2 linked regions of the Mus musculus genome follow. The protein of the gene in region 1 interacts with the protein of each later gene in a pairwise test. Links are inferred from orthologs where the notes say so. Each region holds a gene or a part of one and is shown on either strand. Other genes may lie near its edges. The genes, in order: Csde1 and Hid1.

Region 1 (11,628 bases):
TCCCTACTATTTCTATCACATTTATATGATGCATACTTATCAAATAAAGTTTCTGGGTGGCAACTATTGGAAAAAAGATAAGCACCAAAACTATTGGTTGTTTGAAGATGGGGAGAATATTATTCAAGTAAATAAATGGAGAGAGCCAAGATCTGGAGGACCCCAAGGTACTAAGGAACAGCAAGCATACTTCAGGAAAGGAAGTATTCATAAAACTGAATAGTGACTAACATAAATGACCACTTGGATTTAACAAAAAGTATGATTATCATCACTCAACATTAAACATCGTCAGCATAGTAATCATTTGCTGCTCAGTTTCATCCCGGGTGACCTCATTTTCAAGGAGTCTATAGAACTAAAGCCTAAGCACAGGAGGAGCAGGGTCCCTCTGCTCCTAAGACACCTGAAGCACTGAAACGAGCCCATCACACATTAAAACCGTGCGAGGGCAGAGCAGACTCCAGGGTCAGGGCTGTGCTTACCCTCCTCCACAATCTCAATCATTCCTTGGTACTCAATCTGTGTTGGATCAACACCTCTCAGAGGGCGAATGACTTTACCAGAGTAGATGGTGGGATTAGCTTCCTCAGTAATGCCATTCACTACAAAACAAAAGCACACATAATTACCACTCAGCAATTTCAAACTCTAATAAGACAAAGTAAAAAATACAAACCCAATGTTCGCACAAGGTGAATGCTTTTTGTTCAGACTTTCCAAGAATTTCAATTTTTATTTCTAATTATATGTTTGTTATGCAATGACTCTGCAATGACTGCAGTATCTAAGATACTGTAAGAGGATATATCAGATCTCCTGGAGCTGGTTAACTGAGGACTGTGAGCTGCCTGAGGTAGGGGCTAGGAGTTTAGGTCCTTTGGAAGAACATTCATTCATAATTATGCAGCCTCTAACCAGCTAATAATCTCTTCATCCTATTTTTTCCTTTTTCCTCTTCTCCTTACACACACACACACACACACACCTTACTTTACAGCTCAGGGTGGTTTGAAACTCAAGATCCTCCCCAGATTTCTTAGTGTTGAGAGTACAGGTGTGCACAATGCTCAACTAGTTGGCTGCTCAATATTCTTAAAGTGAGAAAGGGAATCAGTTCTAAAGCTAGTTCTATTTCTTGAATGTAAAATAAATATTTGTATATAAGTAAAATTAAGTATAAATTTCTTGACCATAAATGTTTCTAAAATGCCATTAAAGGTGCTGGAGTTTGGTAAATAAATCAATTTATTTGGCATAACAAATATTCATATCTAAACACATCTTCTGAGACAGGTGTGTTGGCATATGGCCTCAATCGAAACACTCAGGAAGCAGAGGTAGGTGACCTCTGTGACTTCCAGACAGCCAGAGCTACACAGAAAATACCTGACCCAACAACAAATAGACATTTTTGTTTTCATTTGTATTTTGAATCCCACAAAAAAAAAAAATAAGCATAAAAGACCAGGACTTGTCTGGTTTCTTCACAACTGTATCTCTAGTGCATCAAAACCAGTTAGGTATTTGTAGAATAAAAATGGAAGGTCTTAGCTGACCTATCTCTAGGTCTCAATTTAGATGAAGAGAACTAAAGCTGAGTTGCAGGCTGTTTAAAAATAGGAGATGCCAAAGCTGCACTTGCTGGACCCTGAGCTCCACCCCCAAAACACAGAGGCCCATTCCCCGAAAAGCAGAAGCTCTGAAGTTAAAGTTGTCTTCACTTTTCACATTGTAGATCTATAGCTCTACCAGGAGAATGCCTATTTCTGTAACTCCATTAAGAATTATTTCTATGTAGAATGTATATTTCTCGGATTAAAAGAAAGCAGGACGGGCTTTAATTACTGGAGATGCATAATCCCTAACTCCACTGCACCCCAGATCAGATGCCAGCCAGGCACGACGGCACACACACACACTTGGAAGGCAGAACCAGTAATTTCTTCCAAGTTTGAGGTCAGCCTGATCAACACAGCCAGTTCCAAGAAAGCTAAGGTTTTATATAGTGACTCTTAATAAACTGCCACATCCTCCAAATTCAAAATGTTATCTCTGAAATGTTACTAAAATCATGCACAAACTGTCATGCCCAGAATTTGGTAGTGTCAAGAACATGAATAATTGACAAACAGTGAAGGTATATATACTGCTGCTCTGGGTACCTGAGAGCAAATGTTACAGAACATGTATGGCCTTATCCTTCTCCCGACCCTGTATCCTGCCGTCAAAGCATAGGATGAATAGGAGTCATGACTCATTACCTGAGTGGGCTTTGTTTACTTTCTCAGCACTGACTTTATTGCCTTTGCCTTTGGACAAGCTGTATTCAACCATGTCTCCCAGTTCCAGGCTATCAACATCACCAGAGAACTCACTAAAGGGAAAAGATAATAAAGTGACATTAAAATAAGCCACTATCACTAATATCAATAGTAGCATGGAGCCTTTTCTCCTTCCAACATCCATGGGAGGTCTGCATATATTAAGATACTGTTTTAAGGTACGGATTCATTAAATCCTTAAAACAACCCCCCCCCAATCAAGAACCTATAAACTGAGCTACCACTATTTCTAGCTTGAAGGTAAAGAAATCAAAAAGTTACAATCTGATGAAAGTAACATATTAAGTGGGAGAACCTAGATCAAAATTAAAATACTTAGTTTTGGTTCAATGAACCCGTATTTTTTACTATATGCTATAACTGTATTATCACACCAGTACCAATATGTATAATAAAAATATGTAAAGGCAGGTAAATGCATTTCTATGTTTATGGCAGATGCCTAACTCCTGTATGTAACTTGCCATAATTACAAATAGAAAAGCTGGGTCTCAAAAATTGTAATTACCAAAAAGTATCAACCTATATTAAATTCTTTGAAACGTTAATATAAAAGAATATAATAGGAATAGTTTGCTGCCCAAAAGGCATTCCTTACCTATAGTGGAAAAATATTTCCTTATCATGATTAGCTGTTTCTATAAATCCAAAATTATCTTTCAGAGTTGCCACATAACCCAAGAGACGTTTGGAGTTAGAATTACGACCTAAAAGTCTCACGCAAGTTGCAATCTGCTGTCCAGGCCTCTGTTTGTCACTAATACTAAATTCAACCTACAAAACGATGAGGATGATAGTTAGTATCATTGTCATTTCCACAAGCTCTGTACCTTTAAGAAGCTGACCCAAAACATCCCCCAGACCAAGCTTTTCACTCCAGATCTATTTTGTAATTACTCTGACAGAAAAATTTACAGAAAGCACTTGCTGTCTCAATTCATAAATGATTTAAGTTTTGCCTGTCAATGTACACTTTGTAGTTTTAATTTCTATAGAGAGGCTGTCTAAAAAGTAGGCAATGTAAATTTTTGGTGTAATTTTATACTGGTTTTATTTTAGTGAGTACTTTTAGCTTACTTGTCTGACTGTATCTAGTGGTTGTGGCACTTACCTACTAACTGCTAGAATTACAAGTATGCCACACACTCATCTCTAAAAAGAACTCAAACCTAAAAACCTATCATTCAGTATGTTTCATAAGCTACAAGACCCTGTTTTATTATGTATTTCATCTTTCCAGTGAAAAAATGCTGCAGCCAAACTTAGCAAAATTTAAACCATCCTCTAGCAAATATAATCAAGACAACCTTTAACCTTTCTTCAAGTAAGTAAAACCATCTTGCCTTATCTCCTATTTGAGGAGAAGTAGATCCTTCCACATCCTTGGCTTGAAAAGCAATCGTCAGTTTCACCCCACAGTCGTCATAAGCTATAATGCCATCTTCTGCCTCCTAAAGAAAATATAAAACACAATTAAATATCCTCAAGAACACTAACAAATGATAACAGAAAAAGGGAAGGAAGATATATAATTACAGTAACTTAGGAATCCTTAACACAAAGAATTGGCAGAGCCACAGAAATTTATTCCAGGACCCTCTAAACAACACAAGACAAAATGCATGAATAAAAGGTATGCTTGCCTTCACTCAGAGTTGCCTCAATCTACTATCACTGAGCCTTTCAGTTTTATCAGAAAATTAAGCTGAGAATGACATTTCTAGCCAAGAGAAAATTTTGTGGAGCATGAAGCTTAGTTTTCTCATGAAGAAAACTCTTTAATATTCTTAAAGTAGCAGCTGAAAATATCCTCTTTACTGTCCCAGAGCACTTCAGTGTTTTTAGTCACTATTATCAATGTGTGAGAAATTAACTTGGTTTAAAAACTAGCACAAATCGGGCTGGGGCTGTAGCCCACTGACAGAGCCCTTGTCTACCAAGTCCAAAGCTCTGGGTTCAATCCCCAATTAAAAAGAGAAAGAAATACTAGCACAAATCAAAGCACTAGAAACATTACAATACACCAGTATTTCTACAATAATGATGAAAACTTTGTACACACATTTCACATACAACCTGATAGTAAGTGATGTCACTGTACCAGTAACCACATACACTACATTTTTATGGTTCAACATCATTTCTATGGGGATAATGTCCACATCATCAATCTGTCTTCTTCCCTTACACCTCACTGCGATTACATAATCAAAACTAGGTTACTTGTCTTAATTAAAATTCTTTATAATTACTTATACACTAATTTACTAAACTTAAGTAATTTACCAGATAGGCAATTTGTATTAGTGAAACCATCTCCCTAGTTACTTAGAAGTTTGTACAAAACCACAAGTGCCCCTTGGTAGTAATTTTTTTTTGAGACTTCTTTTTTGTTTTGTTTTGTTTTATGGTAATTTTAAAAGATTTGTTTTACAGTAAGTCTCTCATGCACCTTAAAATTGTCTACTCTGTTTAGAGTTACAATGATAAAATTTTGTTCCTTAAGTCCATAACTGATGCCATTACCCAACTGAAAATGTTGAAGTATTGCACAAAAAGTTCATTATTGAATTTAGAGAGCAATCATCGATGCTCTTCTCCCTCAATCAAAACCAAAGTCCACCTTCTTCAAACCGGTTACTTGCTGTTTTCTAAAGTAATCTTCCCTGCCTTCTTTCCCTCGTGTTGACCTCTATTCTGTCAGAAATGCCCTTTCTATTGCTACATATTAAATGCCAACACCTTAAGAGTACCATTCCAAGACCTTCCCAGTTATTTACTTTGCCAGAGCATCTTCTCAAACTTGTTTTATGTGTTTGGGAGGAGGAAGGTTACATGGCCTTTAATCTAGGCCTTTATGGCAAATATAGCTTAGTAACAACCCCAATGCCTTTGGTACTACAGAAAACTTGCTATCTTATAATAATCATTCTGTACAAGTCCCATAATGTATTATTTATGAGCGCACAACTTAAGACTTTTGCATAGGCAACAGACTTTTTTAGTAAACGGAAGTACAAATATGTGAATGCAATGCATCAAATTTGGAAAGCTTTAACCTCTTTATGGATAAGAGCTTTTGATAAGTGGTTCTCAAATGAGGAAGAAGCAAGGATACTGGCTAAAACATCCATCCCCCTTGCAAAAAGTCAAAGATGATGAAGCTAAGAAATGTTATTATTACATACAAATATTTTAAAATAAAAACAAAGCTTGTCCGAATACTCTAACTTGTTGAGAATGACTGAACTCCTGATCTTCCTTTGTGCACCTTACAAGTGCTAGAATCACAGTCCACTATCATCATGGCTGGTTGTAGTGGCTATTCCTGGTTGTCAACTTGACTATATCTGGAATGAACTACAATCCAGAATTGGAAGGCTCACCAGTGACCCTAATCTGGAGGCTGGGAGATACAAGTTTCTGACCTGGATCTTGAGGCCTAGTGGCTATGGACCCCAGATTAAGACAGGGAGATCTCCGAGTTCAAGGTCATCTTCGATTAAAGGTGTGGTAGCACACACCTTTAATCTGGGCTACACCTTCTGCTGGAGACTATTATAAGGACATTGGAAGAAGGAAGGCGAGTGGTCTCAAGAGTGTGCGCGAGTCTCTCCACCCCCCCCTCCTTCGAGTGCTTGCCGTGTGGGACTGAGCATTCACAGCTGCTACTGACCATTGTTGGGAGTTGCATTGTAGACTGTGAGGCATCAATAAATTCCTTTACTATATAGAGATTACCCATAAGTTCTGTGACTCTAGAGAACCCTGACTAATACACTGCTGTATACAGAATTTTTAAAAAGGAGACGATACTTCACTATATGAGCTACAATGCAATCTGGAGGCAAAGATAAAAGACATACAAACCATCTGGATCACCTAACACTTGCCTTGTCTTTGCCTTTATTTGGGCTTGTAGTTTTAGGATTGGAAAAAGTGGCTTCTTTTTCTACGGTGCCCAGAAAACGATGATCTGAATGGGAATGGAATGAAACCGTGCCCTTGGGAAGTTTTTTAATCCTAATAGCATGATTTCTTTGGGCAGAGAGCATATCCTACAAATTAAACAAAATCAACAAAATTAAAATTACAAAGGAGACAGCAGAATACCAACCCTTAACACTTTCCCCAACAGCTACTCACAGGAACCACAGTAAACTCTACTTCATCTGCAATGTGGAGCTGGTTCCCATCTAGAATCTCACTGAAGTGGAAGAACATACGAGCATCACGATCCACACACTTGATGAAACCAAAACCATCTCTCATGGCAGCAATCACACCCTGAATAAAAACACAAATTAACATTTTTAACTGGTTATATAGGTTTTTCTGTTTTGTTTTTGTTTTTTAAAAAAAAGAACAACATCAAAGCCGGGCGGTGGTGGCGCACACCTTTAGTCCCAGCACGCGGGAGGCAGAGGCAGGCGAATTTCTAAGTTCCAGGACAGCCAAGGCTACACAGAGAAACCATGTCTCGAAAAAAAGAATTTCCAGGTCCCACTCCTTGGAAAATATATATTATAAAAATAAAGCCTTATGAATTGAACCACAAATACATAAACTAAATGACAACGTAAGAATTTCAAAAATTGGGCTGGTGAGATGGCTCAGTGGGTAAGAGCACCCGACTACTCTTCCAAAGGTCTGAAGTTCAAATCCCAGCAACCACATGGTGACTCACAATCATCTGTAATGAGATCTGACTCCCTCTTCTGGAGTGTCTGAAGACAGCTCAGTGTACTTATATACAATAAAAATAAATAAATCTTAAAAAAAAAAAAAAAAAAAAGAATTTCAAAAATTTACTGATATACTTCATAAATAAATCATAAAAGCAATATTTTACTGCTTTTGTGACTTTAGTCACATAAAAAAAGCAAAGTGCACTCTACTGTCTCTTCTTCTTCCTTGTTTTCTTTTATCCTATGAAAATGTAGGTTTGTGAGATCACTGTATTCCCAGTACTCAGAAGCACTCATGGATTTTTATCCAATGAGATTCACATTGCATATTTACTGCAGAGATGGATACTACTAGCTTTGAATATGACCTGAGTATTTTTAAATTTAATCATTGTCAAACTTCTGATGGTAACCAAAATATATACTTTATACCATAAAGAGAGAAAAGAGACTCTGCTTGGGAAGAGGGTCTTTTTGTTGTGTTGTTTTGTTTCTGCAGAGGACTCAGGAGTGATCCCAGGCATTCACATCTAACTATGATGAACTCTAGTTCCAGGGAATCTGATGTCCAATTTTGGCCGCTGTGGGTACCAGGTACACACATGAAAGTAAAATTTTCATACACATAAAACAAATGAATAACAAGAGGAGGAGGACCAGGAATATGGTAGCGCACACCTTTAATACCAGCATTCAAGAGGCAGAAGCAAATTTTTTGAGTTTAAGGCCAACCTGGCCTAAGAGTTCCAGGGGAACCGTGTCTCAAAAAACAACTTATAAAAATATACCTGTTAGAGGCAGGTGGATTTCTGAGTTCGAGGCCAGCCTGGTCTACAGAGTGAGTCCCAGGTCAGCCAGGGCTATACAGGGAAACCCTGTCTCAAAAAAACCAAAAAAATAAAAGGTACCTGTTTTTATTGCCAACACTGAGACATGCTACAGATAGTATGATTCCAAACAACACTAAATACAAACTATACCTGAGAAAAGTCAGTCTACAAAATGTTTATAAGACATACCTGAGTAGCAAATCAGGTACATACTATTCAGACATATACTCACTTTAAAAAAAGCAAACTATTACCATAAAAGCGGTGAAATCAATTTAGTGCTGTTTAACTTACTGTTTACTAAACATCACAGAGGAAATCTTAAGAAAATATATTTCCTGATGTCTTATTCACATTTCATTAGCAATCCCCTTATCTGGTTTTCTAATTTAAAATTAATTTATATGTCTTTCCAAGATAGCTAAGAGAACTAAGCCCAAACTAATTCAAATATGTAGGATTCTTAGCTACTTAATAAAGTGACTTCCCAACAGGCATTAGCTTACAAGAAATATCCTCTAACAACTTGCCTCTGTGTGTTCTTCTTGGCCTCTCCATCAGTGCAGACTAGGACACAGGCTACCAGGCTTGGGAACAGACACCTTTATTCACTAGTCATCAGCCTAAGAAGTTCCCAGCCAACAGTGTAAATCAGAGTCCATCACTGAACCCTAAATGTCAGATAAAATTCCAGCAATGCTTAAACACTTACCATCTCTCTGGCTTCATTAGTGAACTGAAATGTATTTGATAGAACCTCTATGTTGGTTGCTCGTTCCAATTTGTCACGTCGGTCTGTTGAAATATTAAACCTAACATGGTCACCTTCCAGCAGGGTCACTTTGGATTTTGTGTCTTTGTCTCCAAAGGGAAGTTCTTTAGGAATCACAAAGTCAACTTTGATTCGTCCTGGCAATGGGTCATTCTGATGAGAAGGAAAAACGATTTTAGCTGGAGATTTCTCATCCTTTTAGCTCTAAGTCAAACAAGAAGAACACACAGTAAATAGCTTATTTATAATATAGTAGTAGCCTGAAGGGGAAAAAAGTGCTGACAATATAAGCCCAATATAAAAGCTTCATCATCTAAGGTCCCATGACAACCATAAATCAAGCACTGTTGTTAACACTGCACTGTGATATCAAGAACTGCTAAGGAAAAACATTTCAGCCCTTTGGATCTCACATTTATCCAGCAATGATGCCTTTCACCTTACTTCCCACCAGTTAACAAATGGTAAGACGGGGGAACAGAGAAGTAGCACATGCAGTCCAATTCAGTAGGACCTTCCCCAGTTCAGGTAACAGTTTCTTTTAATCTTAATCACTCAGTGAAAATCAAATAAGCAAAAACATACCCATCAACCTACCGTTCATTAGTGTCTCTTTTCTTTCTGCAGTACTGGGGGCCTTTTGCATGCTAGGTCAGCCCTCTGCCACTGAACCACACCATCAGCATCTATTTTGTTTTTTGTTTTTTTTTTTTTTTTAATTAAAATACCTATTAAAAGATACACCCCACTACACACAACTACATCAATCAAACAGACTCCACCTTTAGTGTATCATCATAATATTGTACTGATTGGTCAGAAGAAGACATTGCTGATAAAGACAATTTACCTGGTTTTTACTGGGTACTTTTGGGATAACTTTGGTTACAGTTCCTTCAAAATGTTCAATGCTGATATCTTCAAAAATGACTGTTCCTTGAGGCAATAGTCTGACATCTGTTGCAACTTCTTTACCCTAAATCAAGAGGTTGAAGTGGGCAGGGGTCACATAATTTTAAGCGTTTCTTAAATATATAATCCACTACTAATCTTTAAAAAGGGCAATAATTTAGAGTTAGTGAATGACCCATCTTACATTTCTGTCCTTGATTGTGAATTCCACGTCATCTCCAGGCTGTAGGGTTTCTAGGTCACCTTTAAATTCACTATAGTGAAAGAATATCTCTTTTACAACATCACCTCTTTCGATAAAGCCAAACGCCTCCTAAAGCAAAAAGCCCCCAAATACAAAATCATTAATTACCAATCAATATACAAATGTATGATTACAACTTAAAAAAAAATCAGTAAGCTTTATCTTAAAATTATACTATAGGCCAAAGAGTACAACTCTGTAAAGTCTACCTTACCAAGACTTGACCTAAAGACTCGCAATCAAGAAGCTCTATGAACTTAGTTAACAAGGAAATAGTCTTAAAGCAGAGGCAGGAGAAGCAAGTGGTTTGGGTTTGTAGTACAAAGCTTAAAAGCAGTTAAAAAACCAAACAGCAAACCTAAACATTTCAAGTTTATTAACTATTACCTTCATGGCACAAACTACTCCTTGACAGCGAGCCTGCTTCTTTTTCAACAGCATAATATTACGAGCACTTACAGCACCAGTGCTAGAGAAGAAATGAAAAATGAAGGTTAAATCCTCTGGGTTGTTAGAAACTATTGAGTCTATAATCACAAAGTAGTTTCCTAGGTCTTAAAAATTCTCTCATTATTAAGAACAAATGTAAGGTTTATGATACCCAATCTTCTCTGGATAAAAACTTTGTTCAAACTCCCCATCTTTCAGACTTAAAATTCATACATGGATTTTTTTTTTCTTCTTCATAAATTCCTGACTTTACCAAAGTAGATACCTTCTAAAGAAGGTGGAGAACACTGGTTTCACAGCAGGGTGAGTATTACACTTTATAAACTAAGGAACTGATGATAACAATAAAAAATCTGTTATTGGGAAGTACTAAACTTAGTACCTATCCTCTTAATTTATCTTATTATTTTATTTTTTTGAGGCAGGGTTTCTCTGTGCAACTATGGCTTGTCCTGAACTCAACTCTGTAGACCAGGCTGGCCTCAAACTCAAGAGAGATCCATCTGCCTCTACTGCCTGAGTGCTAGGATTAAAGGTGTTCACCAGACTAGACTGTCCTCCTTATTCCTGCCCTCTAAGAGACAGGAGACTTTGCCATGCTTTCAACTCAAGTTTATTTCAAGCACAGTGTAAACTATGTAAGATACAAAATTATTGCTGGGCTCAACATGTTTAGAGAAGAGTAGCTATCAAAAATTCAGACAGACAAATGAGGTACTGCTTTTTTGAGGACTAAGTGTAAGTGTTGAAGAAACTGCTCAGTAGTCAAGAGTGGTTGCTGTTCTTGTAGAGAACATGGGATCAATACCTAGCACCCATGGTGGGTGTAGTCAACAGCCATCTGTAAACTCCAGTTCAAGAGGATATGATGCCCTCTCTTGGCTTCCTAAGGCACTGTACAAACAAGGTTCACATGTGCACAAACTCACTCTCTGTGTATGTATGTTATATGGATAGGTTGTCCATGTCTTTAATCTCAGCATTCAGGAAGCTGAGGCAAGAATCACTCTGAGTTGGAGGCCAGTCTGGTCTACATAGTAACCATTAAATAAGAATATACTAGGTAAAAAAATTATTTAGTACAAATCTTTGGCAAAGGTGAAATAGAGTGGCTACCTTCTGAAACTTACATTATCTATTCCTTGGTTTTCTACTTCATATTCAATTAAAACCCTTGGTCTAAAATATATAAACCCATAACCCAATTTCATTTTCCAGTATTCCAACAACTTTGATTCCTATCTTGGCTGATCCATATAAACCCTTTATTTTCTATAGTACTGCATCACACTCCTGGTCTAGAGCATCCCTATTGTTCAAGAGCCTGCTATCTTTAGCACTTACACAACTCTAACCTTACTCCAAGTTTTGCAAGAATTGTATAATA
Region 2 (12,134 bases), on another chromosome or scaffold:
AGCCTGGTCTACACAGCAAGTGCCAAGACAGCCAGGTCTATAAAGAGAAATTCTGTATTAAGAAACAAAACAAGGGCTGGAGAGATGGCTCAGTGGTTAAGAGCACTGACTGCTCTTCCGAAGGTCAACCACATGGTGGCTCAGAACCATCTGTAACAGGAACTGATGCCCTCTTCTGGTGTGTCTGAAGACAGCTACAGTGTACTTACATATAACAATAAATAAATCTTTAAAAAAAGAAAAGAAAATCAACAACAAAAAGAAAATAAACATAGACAAAATAAAATAGTGCCAAAACCACACGTTTCTAATCCATATTCAGGTGTGGTCATAGTGCATTCCTCCAGCCACTGGGAAACTGAGGCAGGAGAACCAGGAGTTCAAGTCTGGCTTTGGTTACATAGTGAGTCTGAGGTCAGCCTGGGCTATAGGCGACCCTGTTCAGAAACAATAAACAAAGAAAAATGAGGAACCAGGGCTGAGAGCTGGCTCAGTGTGCTGGCTTCTCTTCTAGAAGATCCAGGTTCCATCCCCAGTACCTGCATGGCCCCTGCAGGCACTGGTGTGCAGACACACTAGTGTAGACAAAACTCTCGTGTATATCTTTTTTTTTTTTTAAAGTAAAACAAAGTAAAGAAAAATAGTGGTTAAAGTTTTAAGGAAAACACTAGGGGCTGATATAACGTGTAGGGGATGGGCAATCTCTCAGAAAAGAGTGACTTTTAAGATGAGATGCCACAGGAGGAGGAGTGGGTCAGGCAATAGAACAGAGGACCAAGGGATGTAAGAGGCTTTGGGAGTGACCTGCACAGAGGCCTATGCAGGAAGAGGGGTGTGGGCTTGGGAAACCAGAAACTGAGAGAGCAAATACAGATTGTTTGTTCAGGCTGTGGAGACTCTGTGTGTGTGTGTGTGTGTGTGTGTGTGTGTGTGTCTGTGTAGCCCTGGTTGGACTGGAATGTGCTATGTAGACCAGGCTGGCCCTGTATTATTCACAGAGATCCACCCACCTCTGCCTCCTGACTGCTGGGATTAAAGGTGTGTGCCACCACACTGACAGCAATGTGGTACTTTTAAATGTGGTGCCAAAGGTTGGGCATGGTGGAACATGCCTGGAATCTTAGCACTTGGGAGATGGAGGCAGGATTAGGTGTTAAAGATCATCCCAAACTTAGATATTTTTTTTTTCCCTCTTGGAGAACAGATGACAGGCCTGACTTCTGAGTATATTCGCCTGTGTGTGAGTGTACACTGTGTATGTAGGCCAGAAAGGGGTATTGGATCCCCTGGAGCTGAAGTTACAGGTTGTGTGTGTGCGCTGCTGGACATGGGTGGTTAGAACTGAACTCAGGTCCTCTGGAAGAGCAGCAAGCACTCTAAGCCATGGAGGCATCTCTTCAGCCCCCGGGAGTCAGAATTTTGTCTTCCGACCCAGCTGAGCCCAGTCTCAGGGCTTCTCTCGGGCTTAGCATGTGTGAATGAAGAAGTTCCCAGCTGGTTCCGTCCGTCCCTCAGCTGTTCAAAGATAACACTTCCCCAGCCTTTCCAGTCTCCCCAGCTGAGGCCCAGACAGTGTGGAGTAGAAACCAGCCATCTCAGCTGCATCCCCATTAATCACGGACCCAGGAATGTCAGAGACAGTGAAATGGTCATTGTTTTATGCCATTTGGTGGGGACGTTGTTCTGTGAAATGCTTCCGAAAATCTCCATCTGGTGGACATCCAACTTCCAGGATTCCAAAAGTTTTCCCTCCTTGATGCTGCCTTGGTTCAGCCCTTCCCCCCGCTCACCATCTCCCTGCCTGCTCCCAGTATTCAGGTTTCTGTCCCTCCTGCATCAGCCAGGACAATTTGTTAAGACCTAATGTCATCTGATGACGTCATTTCTCCACTTCAAAGGCCTTTTTAGTGGTTGTGCCATACAATTAGAGTTTATTAGTTTGTATGTAGTCCTCTAGGGTCGGCTCCTGGGCTATCTCAAGTGTTATCTCCCATCGAAGTCTCCCTCCAACCAGGTCTCTGGACATGAGTCTCTCTAAGCTCCAGGCCTTTCTGCGGCTTGCTCTCCCTAATGGCTGGAAGCTGAAAATTTTCCACTTGTCTGTGTAGATTTCCTTCTGTTTCATTCATATTCCATGGCCGAGCTTTCCCGAAACTCTGTCACCGGCTTTTCTCAATCTTCTGCTTTCAGTGGGTTCACCTGATTAGCAGGAAGCAAGGCAGGAGTAAAGTGGGGTGTTCATTCCAACTTTCCTTTTCTTTGTGGAGACTACAGCCCAGGCTGGGGGTTCTTCTCTGGTGGGCTCCCTCTCCCTGGGCACTGGCAGCTATTCCTTCCTTTGCCCCTTAATGGTCTCAGTAACCTGTTCCGACCCCATAGCGCTTCCCTGTGAGAAACCTCTCTCGAGTAATCCCTCCTCCATCTGTTTCCAGCCTGTCTAACATTCTCAGTCACCTTCCAAGCTTCAGCCTAGACTCTCCTCCTCAGCCACTTTCTTTCTTATCTAGCTCTACCAGGGCCCTGAGTAGAGATTGACTTTCAACGTCATAGCTCTCAATGTCTTGATTTATTGGCAGTAGAGACATGTACAGCTTAGGCCCTTGCCTCCTTCAATGGTACCCGGCACTTAATAGGATCTGAGTCAATGTCTGCCGGATGAATGATGGTTGAATTTAGAGAAAGGACTCCGGAGAGGGCCACAGGAGCCACTGACCAGTGAGTCTTTTATTCTGGCCACAAAACAAGGACATGACATGCTTTCCCATAGCCAAGAACCTTCCAGAAGATTGTCACATTGATAAGAAAAGAGTAATTTCTCTACGTGTTCAGAGGTCCAATTTTATTTACTGATGGTGCCTTTATGCAGACAGATTGTTTTCTGAAAGTGTTTACTATGAAAATGTTTACATGTATACAGTCGTAGAGAGACTGGTTTCCTGAGTTAGTTTCTTTGCCGCTTACAGCTTTTATTTTTCTTTATTTTTGTAGGGCTGGGGACGGAACCCGGCATCTCCTGCATGCTAAGCAGGCAATCTGTCAGCTAAGCAGCTCCCCATGTTCCTTGGCCTTCATTTTAAAAGTCCAGTTTATTGAGGTGCAGTTTATATACAGTAAAGCTCACTCCCTTGAGGCCTATTGTTATGAGAAAAATCAAACAGAAAGTTTTCATTGCCCCACTAAGTTCCCTCCTTATCTTTCTCAGTCCACCCTTCCCACCTCTGGCTCCCAGCAACTGCTGGCTTGCTTTCTGCTCCCACGGCTCCACCGTTCCCCGAATGTCTATAAATGATAATATAGTATATTATAGCCAGGAGGGGGGCAGTGTATAACTGTAATTGCAACACTGAGGAGGTGGAAACAGGAAGATCAGAAATTCAAGGCCAATCTCAGGTACATAAAGAGTTCCAGGTCAGCCTGGGCCACAGGAGATCCTGTCTGCAAATAAGCAAAGAAACAAGAAAACTTTATATTCAGCTAATACCTGATCCACCAACCAACTAAGCCAGAGGCAGATTAATTTCTGTTATCTTAGGCAAGCTGAAGATTGGAATTTGATAGTCTCACTGGGACTCTCTTGAAAGCCCACAGGTCAGTGGTGTTGGTGCCAAGTGCTGGTCCACAGATTCTCAGGTATTATTTGTTTGAGATGGGGTCTTGCTGTGTAGCTCTGACTGGCCTGGAACCAGCTATGTAGAACAGGCTGGTTTTGAACTCAAAGAGACCTGCCTGCCTCTCCCTCTTGTGTGCTAGAATTAAAGGCCTGTGTTAGCATACTTGGCTTGGTGCTATGCTTTTTTTTTTTTTTTTAAACTGAATAAAGAAACCATTCATTATCTCAGAGTGATTACAAAAAAAAAAGCCCTGGGGGCACACCCAGAATTTTGTAGGGACAACATACCTTTAGAGAAAAGCTAGAGCTACCCAATGCTGTGGCTTGTTCTGTGAGGTAGTGAGACCATGCCCTCTCTCTCTACCTCTACACCTGATCCAGCTGCCTTGATGGAGCATACTCCTTATTTTACAACTCCGGGATCCCCCTTTAGATTAAAGTCATGTTGTTTAGAACTATCCAGGATTCTCAGAAACTTCTAGACACAGTAACATGATTGTGTGAGGGGTGGGACACATACATCATACATGGCCCTGGCTGTCCTGCTGTCCTGGCTTGCTATGAGATATATATATATTAGATAAATACCAGATTATTTTGGATTTTGCCAATGCTGGTCTCAAACTCACTATTCACCAAGGATGACAGTCCCTCTTGCCTTCACCTCCTGAGTTCTGAGATCTCATATGTGGATCAACTATTTTTATTGGGTTGTCAGCTATTACTCTTAATTTAATAATTAGAGTGCTTGCCTAACATCCAAGAACCTCTTGGTTCAATCTACAGCACCCCATAATACCAAGGGTGATCATGGAACCTGTGACCTTGGTACTTGGGAGATGGATTAAAAAATTCATCACCAGTAACAGTGAGTTCGAGGCAAGCCTACGATAAACTCCTCACAAAACAAACACAGTGTACTAGGCTATACCATGGGTAAACTCCTTTCTTCTGAAACCAGGATCTGTGATGTTTATGTCATGTCCTCTACACTTCAAAGAGTTCTCAGGGAAGCCAGGGAGCTAGATAAGCGTCAAGACCCAAGGGATTTTTCACTGCTGAGCTGCCTTCCTGGAACAGGGACACTGAGTCAGCCCATCCTTCCACACAAGCAAGAGCTAAACCTTTTAAGGGTTAGAATAACTTCAAGGCTAGACACGTGGATTTGATAGGTCAGAAAGAGAAGCAAACAGAAAGAAAGGAAGGGAGGAAGAAAGAAAGGAGAGGAGAGGAGGGGAGGGGAGGGGAGGAGAGGAGAGGAGAGGAGAGGAGAAAAAGAAAAGAAAAGAAAGGAAAGGAAAGGAAAAGAAAAGAAAAGGAAAGGAAAGGAAAGGAAAGGAAAGGAAAGAAAAGAAAAGAAAAGAAAAGAAAAGAAAAGAAAAGAAAAGAAAAGAAAAGAAAAGAAAAGAAAAGAAAAGAAAAGAAAAGAGAAAAAGCAAGCAAGCTCAGATAGCAACAATAGTAGGAAAGCATGAACATCAGGTAGAGAGGATTGGAGGAGAAACTGCGGGTCTGAGCAGGAATGAAGAATGAAGGTGGAGGCAGGAGATGAGATACCAGGAGGGTTTCAGTCTTGCGGACTGAGGATCGAGGACAACACTCAGTTGCAGACGAAAGGACCAGGAGTTGGGTTCCACGGAGAACTCCGGACTTCTTCTTGGAGGCCTGAGCGGCAGGTGCAGAGGCGGGGCCTCGTGGGGGCGGATCTAAAGGCGGAGCCACAGGGGCGGGGCCGACGCCTGCGGCAGGCGGGGTTCGCAGCTTCGCTCCCCAGAGAGCAGCCGGGGCTGCGGAGCTGGAGCTGGAGTCACAGCCGGAGCCCGCGGCAGAGTCGGAATCCGGGGTCGGGCTGGAGCGGGGTCCATCGACATGGGATCCGCAGACTCCAAGCTGAACTTCCGGAAGGCGGTGATCCAGCTGACCACCAAGACGCAGGTGCGCCTGGGGGCCCAGCCTCTTCATCCACCTGCCGGCCCTGGGGGCAGGGCAGGGCCGGGGGGGCTGGGTGAACACGGTTCACCCGAGGGTGGGGTGACCGGCTAATCCAGAGGGGGATGCTGAAACAAGCACCGGAACGGGACTTTTCCTTTGTAACTAGGGCTCCATCCCTGCCTCTGGGAGCCCACCCTATGCCTACTCTCCCCTGGGAACACTCTCCCGGGCACTGCTGCTGCTGCCACCTTAGGCTGACGTGTGCCTACTCCTGGAGCCGGCGGCGACAACGTTATCCGCCCCCTGTCCCGCCCCCCCGGTGCCCGCAGCCTCGCTTAGCCAGCCTCTTCCCGCTCCCACCTACCCATCCATCGCCCCGCTGGTCTCCCTGCCCCTCAGTGCCCATGGTCCCGGACATACAGCCCCGGCTGACTCAATGCAAACAAAGCCGGGCCGGCGCCTGCCTGGGTTGGGGAAAACAGCTGGTGCGCGATGGCAGCGGTGGCAGCGGTGGCCTCTCTGGGCCCTGGCTGATGCCTGAGGGTAGGGAAGGCCCAGGTCTTCCTGGGAGCTCATAGAGTGGCAGGCAGCGGCAGCTGGGTAAGAGGAGCTGTCCTCAGGCCTAGGGAAGCCAGCTTTCCAGCTAGTGATGATCCAGGGGCTTCTCCAGGCCCGGTGGAGCTGATTGGCTGTGCTTTTTGGCACCCGGAATAGGGATTGGGGTTTCGGGGATGAGGAGATTATCATTGGTCTGTTGGAGAGGGAGCCATGGGTAACTCCAGTCCACACTCCCCCCCCCCATCCCCCGTGTCTACAAGTGTCACAGAAGCTGCCTCCTACCTTCAGCACACACCTCTTGACCCAGCAAGGTTCCTTCCCTGTCGTCCCTTCAATCTTTATTTCTGGAAACCAGGCTACTCTGGTTATGGAGATACCAGCAGCCTCTCCAAGGCCCTGCCTGTCAAAGGGCTCTGGACCTACTGCCATCTGGAACCCCACCCCCATCCGACTGTTCTCAGAGCTCTATATTGTTCTTGGCCAGTGTGAGTGGGATCAGGAGAGCTGCCTACCCACAACCAGCCAGTCACAGCCTCAGAGAGCCGACCACTACTCCCACACCCTGTTACCCACCTTGGGAAGGTCAGAGGCCGAGGAAAGGAATGCCAGGGCCTCTAGAGAGCCTGTTTCTATCTGAGGGGCACTTGGCGGAAACCAGAACTGCTTCTCTTTGCTTCCTGTGGCTTGTTCCAGAACCTCAGACGTGAGACTCTCCATCAGTGGGTAGCAGGAAAGGGTGGTGTGTGGTATTTTGCACAGTGTAGGGTGGTGAGAGCTGGGGGAGCGTCTCCCATGTTTGCCCTGCCTGGGGAGGGGCTGGCTTGCTGGAAGATGGTTTGGTGGGCTGAGCAGGTCCTTTAGCAGCAGGATTAAACCAGCTCTAGAAAGGTGGGCAGTGACCTGCTTAGGAACCCTCCCCCTGAATACTACATCAGTAGGTTTGTACCTGGTTGAGATAGTCTGTTCTCAGATGAAGACAGTTGCTTGGATCAGGGTCTAGAATAGATTGGAGACCCAGTGTGGACTACTCCCCTTCTTCCTCCCCCATCTTCCTCTTCCTCCTCCCCCTTCTCTTATCTCTCTTCTTCCTCTCCCATCTGTCTCCTTCTTTTCAGTTTATATTATTATTATTTTTGGTGTGTGTGTGTGTGTATACATGTGTATCATGTATATACATGAAGGTCAGAGGACAACAATGGGAGTCAGTTCTCTTCTTCCACTATGTGGGCCCTAGGGATGGAACTTAGGTTAGGCTTGGCAGCAAGCACAAATTATGTTTACCAAGCATTTTTACCAAGTGCCTTTACTGCTGAGCCATTCACTAGCCTGTGGGCCTTCTCATAAGCATGGGACTCTCACAAGTGGGTGGGGGCCAAAGCCTTGGACTCTAGTGATCAGCTTTGAGCAGCTGGGATTCAAGAATCTGGTCCGAAAAGGTCTTCCTGGACCTTCGAACTCAGTATCCCCAAGGGGCTGCAGATGTGATGGCCACAGGATGACCTCACTTCTAAGCCCTCCGAGGCTGTGCTTTGAGCAGTAGACAAGTGGACCTTACTGTAGCCTGGGTCTGAGCTCTTGCAGGTCAGCCTTCCCTGCCTTCCTGCCCTGCATCCTGTTTTCTTCCTGCCCTATTAGCCAGCCCTGGGCAGGGCTTAACCCTAACTCTGAGACCAGCCACATTCTTGACTCTTTCCTCACTTGGCTGGGGCCCCAGAGTGGGGCACTACAGGATCAGAGACTCTCCCCCAGATTCTGTTCATTGAGGATGCTCTGCTGCAGGCTAGGGTAAGAGCTGATAGGTGTGTGTTCACACGCATGCATGTGTGTGAGCCTAGAATAATACTTTGATCACCTGTCAGGACATATCGTCCTTATTGGGCTAGCTCAATGCTGGTTTTACCCCTTACCACTCCCACCCTAGAAGGAGACTGTGACAACCCCAGCTTGGGGCTGGAGAGATGGTTCAGTGGTTAAGAGGGCTCCAGCTACTCTTTCAGATGAAGAGTTTGGTTCACAGCACCCACGTTGGGGTGGCTCACAACTACCTGTGAGCTCTGGGGAGATCCAACACCTTCTGGCCTCTAGGGGCAGCCTCATGTATGTGTACACGCAGAGAGAGACACATATGCACATAAATAAAAAATAAAGTAAAAAAAATGTTAAAGCTACAGCTGGTCCCTCAGCCAATGCAAATGCCTAAGACCCAGTGGGATCAGGGGAGGAAGTGCAAGCTGAGGCTAACAATCATGAGGTCCTATGTTCAGTCTCCATAATGAGAGTGACTACAGGCTAGCCCCGGCTACATGAAAAAGGTGGGGGTAGATAGAAAGATAAATGCTTGTTTATGAAGGTTTTTTCCCCCCTCTGCTTCTAGGTTAGACCTCTAAGGCCCTCTTATGTCTCGTTTGGATTTCAGTTCCGAGGTGATGGTTGTCTAATGAACTAGGTCAGTGGTCAGCTCCATTTGTATTCAGCGGGGGCTTCGGCCCCTTTAAGGGATGCTGACTCCCTGAGAGGTGAGCTGAGTATTAGAGGCTTTCAGAGGTGCTCCTGATGAGGAGGATCTCCACAGGCCTTTCCTCTGAAATGTCCTTTCCCACTGCGTTCTGGCTCCAGGCCACCAGGACTGGTGAGGCTGAGGTCCAGCAAACCCCAGCTCCAGGGCCTCTCCTTTAGCCTTTGTTTACCTTTGGCTGACTTGCTCTACCAGTTCTGGGACTGAGGGTGCAGCCACAAGTTATCCTGGGGCTCCCCAGAATGGGGTGGAGGGTGGGCACTTTGGTGAAGCCTGCAGCCCCAGCCTTGGGTTTGGGCAGCCCCCTGGCACTCAGCCTTGTCAGGACCTCAGCTTCATCTGCCTCAGCTTTGAGAGCAGGGCCAATGCTGGGCTGCTGGGCTGTGAGGTGAGTGGATCTAGACCTGAGTCAGGAATGTGGGGTGTAGAAGTTGGGGCTGGAGGTTCCCAAAGGAGAGCATGCCTGTGTGGTGTAATGGTACACCCTGACCAAAGCAACTTGGGGTCAGGGCAGGAACTCCAACAGGGCAGGAACCTGGAGGCAGCAGCTGGTGTAGAGGCCATGGAGGGGGCTGCTTACTGACCTGCTCCCCATGGCTTGCTCAGCCTGCTTTCTTATAGAACTCAGGACCACCAGCTCAGGGATGACTCCATCCACACTAGGCTGGGCCCTCCCCGTCAATTACTAATTAAGAAAATGCCTCACAGCTGGATCTTATGGAGGCACATTGATTGATTGATTGATTGATTGAGACAGGGTTTCTCTGTGTAGCCCTGGCTATCTTGGAAGTGACTATGTAGTGCAGGCTAGCCTCAAACTCGGAGCTCCACCTGCCTCTGCCTCCCAAGAGCCGGGATTAAAGGCGAGCGCCACCACCGCCCAGCTGGAGGCATTTTCTTAATTGAGGTTCCCTCTTCGCAAATGACCCCAGCCTGCATCAAATTGACATCAAACTATCCATCCCAGCGGAGAATTCTAGAAGTAAAATTTATCATGGAAAATGGTTGCCTTGGTTATTTGCCTGTATGATTGTCTATCTCTCAAGGACCATAAGTATGTATTTTAATTTTTCATTTTTATTTATGTGTATTTCTTTGTATGTATGCCACAAGTGGGCATGTGCCTATAGAGGCCAGAAGTGGGCGTCAGACCCCTGGAATTACAGAGAACCAAACCTGAATCTCCTGGAAGAGCAGCATACACTCTTAACCTCTGAGCCATCTCTCTAGCTCCCACATAAACTCTTCACCTCTGAGCCCGCTCTCTAGTTCCCATGACCACATGTATTTTAAAGGCTTGTCTCAATAGGACCTTTGGAACTTTGTTTCTTACGTTAGTTCCTAAGTTTTGAGACAGGCACTTACTATGTAACTCTGCCTGTCCTGGAACTCACTCTGTAGACCAGGCAGGCCTCAAACTCAGAAAGATCCACCTGCCTCTGCCCGCCAAGTGTTGGGATTAAAGGTGTATGCCACTACACTCAGCCTGTTAAAATTAAAAAACAAATAAAAAACCATCTTTGTTAGGATGTGTGTGTGTGTGTGTGTGTGTGCTTGTATGTATAGGAGGGAGGTTTATATTGGCTTGAAGTGGACAACTTGTGGGAGTTGGTTTACTCCTTCCGATGAGCAGATCCTGAGTTTGATACTCAGGTCATCAGGCTTGGTGGCAAGCCCCTCTACTAACTGAGCCATATCTCAAGCCCAATGTAATTATTGCTGAAATGAGAAGAGTATAGTGGGAAATATACAGCCTGGGCAAAACAAAAGAAATTTACTGGGGTCATGTCTAGGAGTAGTAAATACAGGAGTGTGTGTGTGTGTGTGTGTGTGTGTGTGTGTGTGTTGTTGTTGAGATGAGATCTGTTGAATCCCAGGCTGTCCTTGAACTCACTCACTGTGTAGTTGCGGGTGACCTTGTACTTCTGATCTTCCCAAGTGCTGGGATTACAGGCCCTCACCTCCAGTCCTAATGTACCCAGTGCTCGAGATCCCCTCCGGGGCTTTGTGCAAGTGCTCTATCAACTGAACTACAGCCCAGCCTCAAGGCCTGTTTAAGATCTTGGATGAGTGTTGAGCTGATGTCTTGACTTGGTCCAGCAGGCAGTGGGGGTCCCCGGGGGCTTTTAGATGAAGGCTCTGTGGCTTTGGCTATTGCATGGGGTGGAGGCACTGAAGTGGGGGGGGTGATTTGGAGGCTGGGGCTCCCTGAAAGTGACTGGAGCTGCAGCATGGGCCAGCAGCGGGTGCTGAGAGGATCGTGTGGAGGTTGGTGGGTCTGGCACTGGTGGCTGTGCTGAGAAAGGGTTGCTTGTGAGAAGACAGCACCGGTGACTGTGAATGGGGTGCGTATGCCCTTTGGGGGAGAGCCTTGGTCTAGTTCCTAGACACTTGACCTACTGGTGTGGCCGTGGGATGTGATCTGGTGATGATGTCAGCTCCTCTTTTAGAGAAATGTGTGCACTTAGCCAGAGACACACAAACCCTCGGTGACACAGTGAACTTTAGAACCTAGTGGACCCTCGCCCATACACACCTATCTTGTGGCAGCTGAATAAGGTCGTTCCAGATGGGGAGGCTCCTGGGCGCTGGCTGGGATGGAGGATAACCACGGTGGCCTCCCTGCCAGGGCTCATCTGTGACTGTTGGGAAAGGTGTAACTCTGGATACTGGATCCCCCTGTAGCCCGTGGAAGCCACCGACAATGCTTTCTGGGACCAGTTCTGGGCAGACACCGCTACCTCGGTGCAGGATGTCTTTGCGTTGGTGCCGGCAGCAGAGATCCGGGCTGTGCGAGAGGAGTCACCCTCTAACCTGGCCACGCTGTGCTACAAGGTATGAGCTGTCTGGCTCCTCACAGCTGTCCCCATCCTTCCCAGAGAGGCCGAATGGCCTAGTCCACGCAGAACAAAGTACTCACATCTCACCCACAGGTTCTAGAGGTCTAGCCTCTTTGCCTCCAGTTCTCCTTGGTGGGGGTGAGGAAAAAGTAACCATGGCCCCTGCCGCCATTTATCAGAGCTTTAACTTATCTTTCCAGACACCACCTCACTTAGCTTTTCCTGTGAGGTGCTCCAGCCTCCAAACAGAGGTTTCTCTGTTACAAACGAGGTCTTAAAAAAAATTGCCGGGTAGTGGTGGCACACTCCTTTAATCCCAGCACTTGGGAGGCAGAGGCAGGGAGATTTCTGAGTTCAAGGCCAGGTTGGTCTACAGAGTGAGTTACAGGACAACCAGCGCTATTCAGAGAAACCCTGTCTCGAAAAACCAAAAATAAATAAATAAATTTTAAATTAAATTTATTTTATTTTATGTGTGTGAGTGCTTTGCATGCATGTATCTATATGTTCCGTGTACATGCCTGATGACCATGGAGAGCAAAAGAAGGCATTGGACCCCCTTGAACTAGAGTTATGGGTGGTTGTGAGACACCACGTAGGTGCTGGGAGTTGAACTCTAGGTCCTTGGCAAGGATAGCAAGTTGGGTTTTATTGTTGTTTGTTTTATTTTGTTGAGGCC

What was found.
Region 2: the proteins of Csde1 (region 1) and Hid1 interact in binary tests that used the Homo sapiens proteins (3 or more experiments, as listed by UniProt). The two-hybrid records come from large-scale screens. The link is inferred for Mus musculus from reciprocal best matches to the Homo sapiens genes CSDE1 and HID1.

The regions. Positions count from the first base shown.
Region 1 is NC_000069.6:103,041,789-103,053,416, reverse strand, and holds part of Csde1 (cold shock domain-containing protein E1), read right to left. Parts: intron 10,261-11,628; coding exon 10,179-10,260; intron 9,861-10,178; coding exon 9,732-9,860; intron 9,612-9,731; coding exon 9,486-9,611; intron 8,789-9,485; coding exon 8,576-8,788; intron 6,633-8,575; coding exon 6,492-6,632; intron 6,404-6,491; coding exon 6,239-6,403; intron 3,797-6,238; coding exon 3,689-3,796; intron 3,120-3,688; coding exon 2,944-3,119; intron 2,378-2,943; coding exon 2,265-2,377; intron 606-2,264; coding exon 486-605; intron 1-485. UniProt on the Homo sapiens protein: RNA-binding protein involved in translationally coupled mRNA turnover.
Region 2 is NC_000077.6:115,360,955-115,373,088, reverse strand, and holds the start of Hid1 (protein HID1), read left to right. Parts: upstream 1-5,332; 5' UTR 5,333-5,479; coding exon 5,480-5,545; intron 5,546-11,244; exon of another isoform or gene 11,245-11,300; coding exon 11,301-11,450; intron 11,451-12,134. UniProt on the Homo sapiens protein: May play an important role in the development of cancers in a broad range of tissues.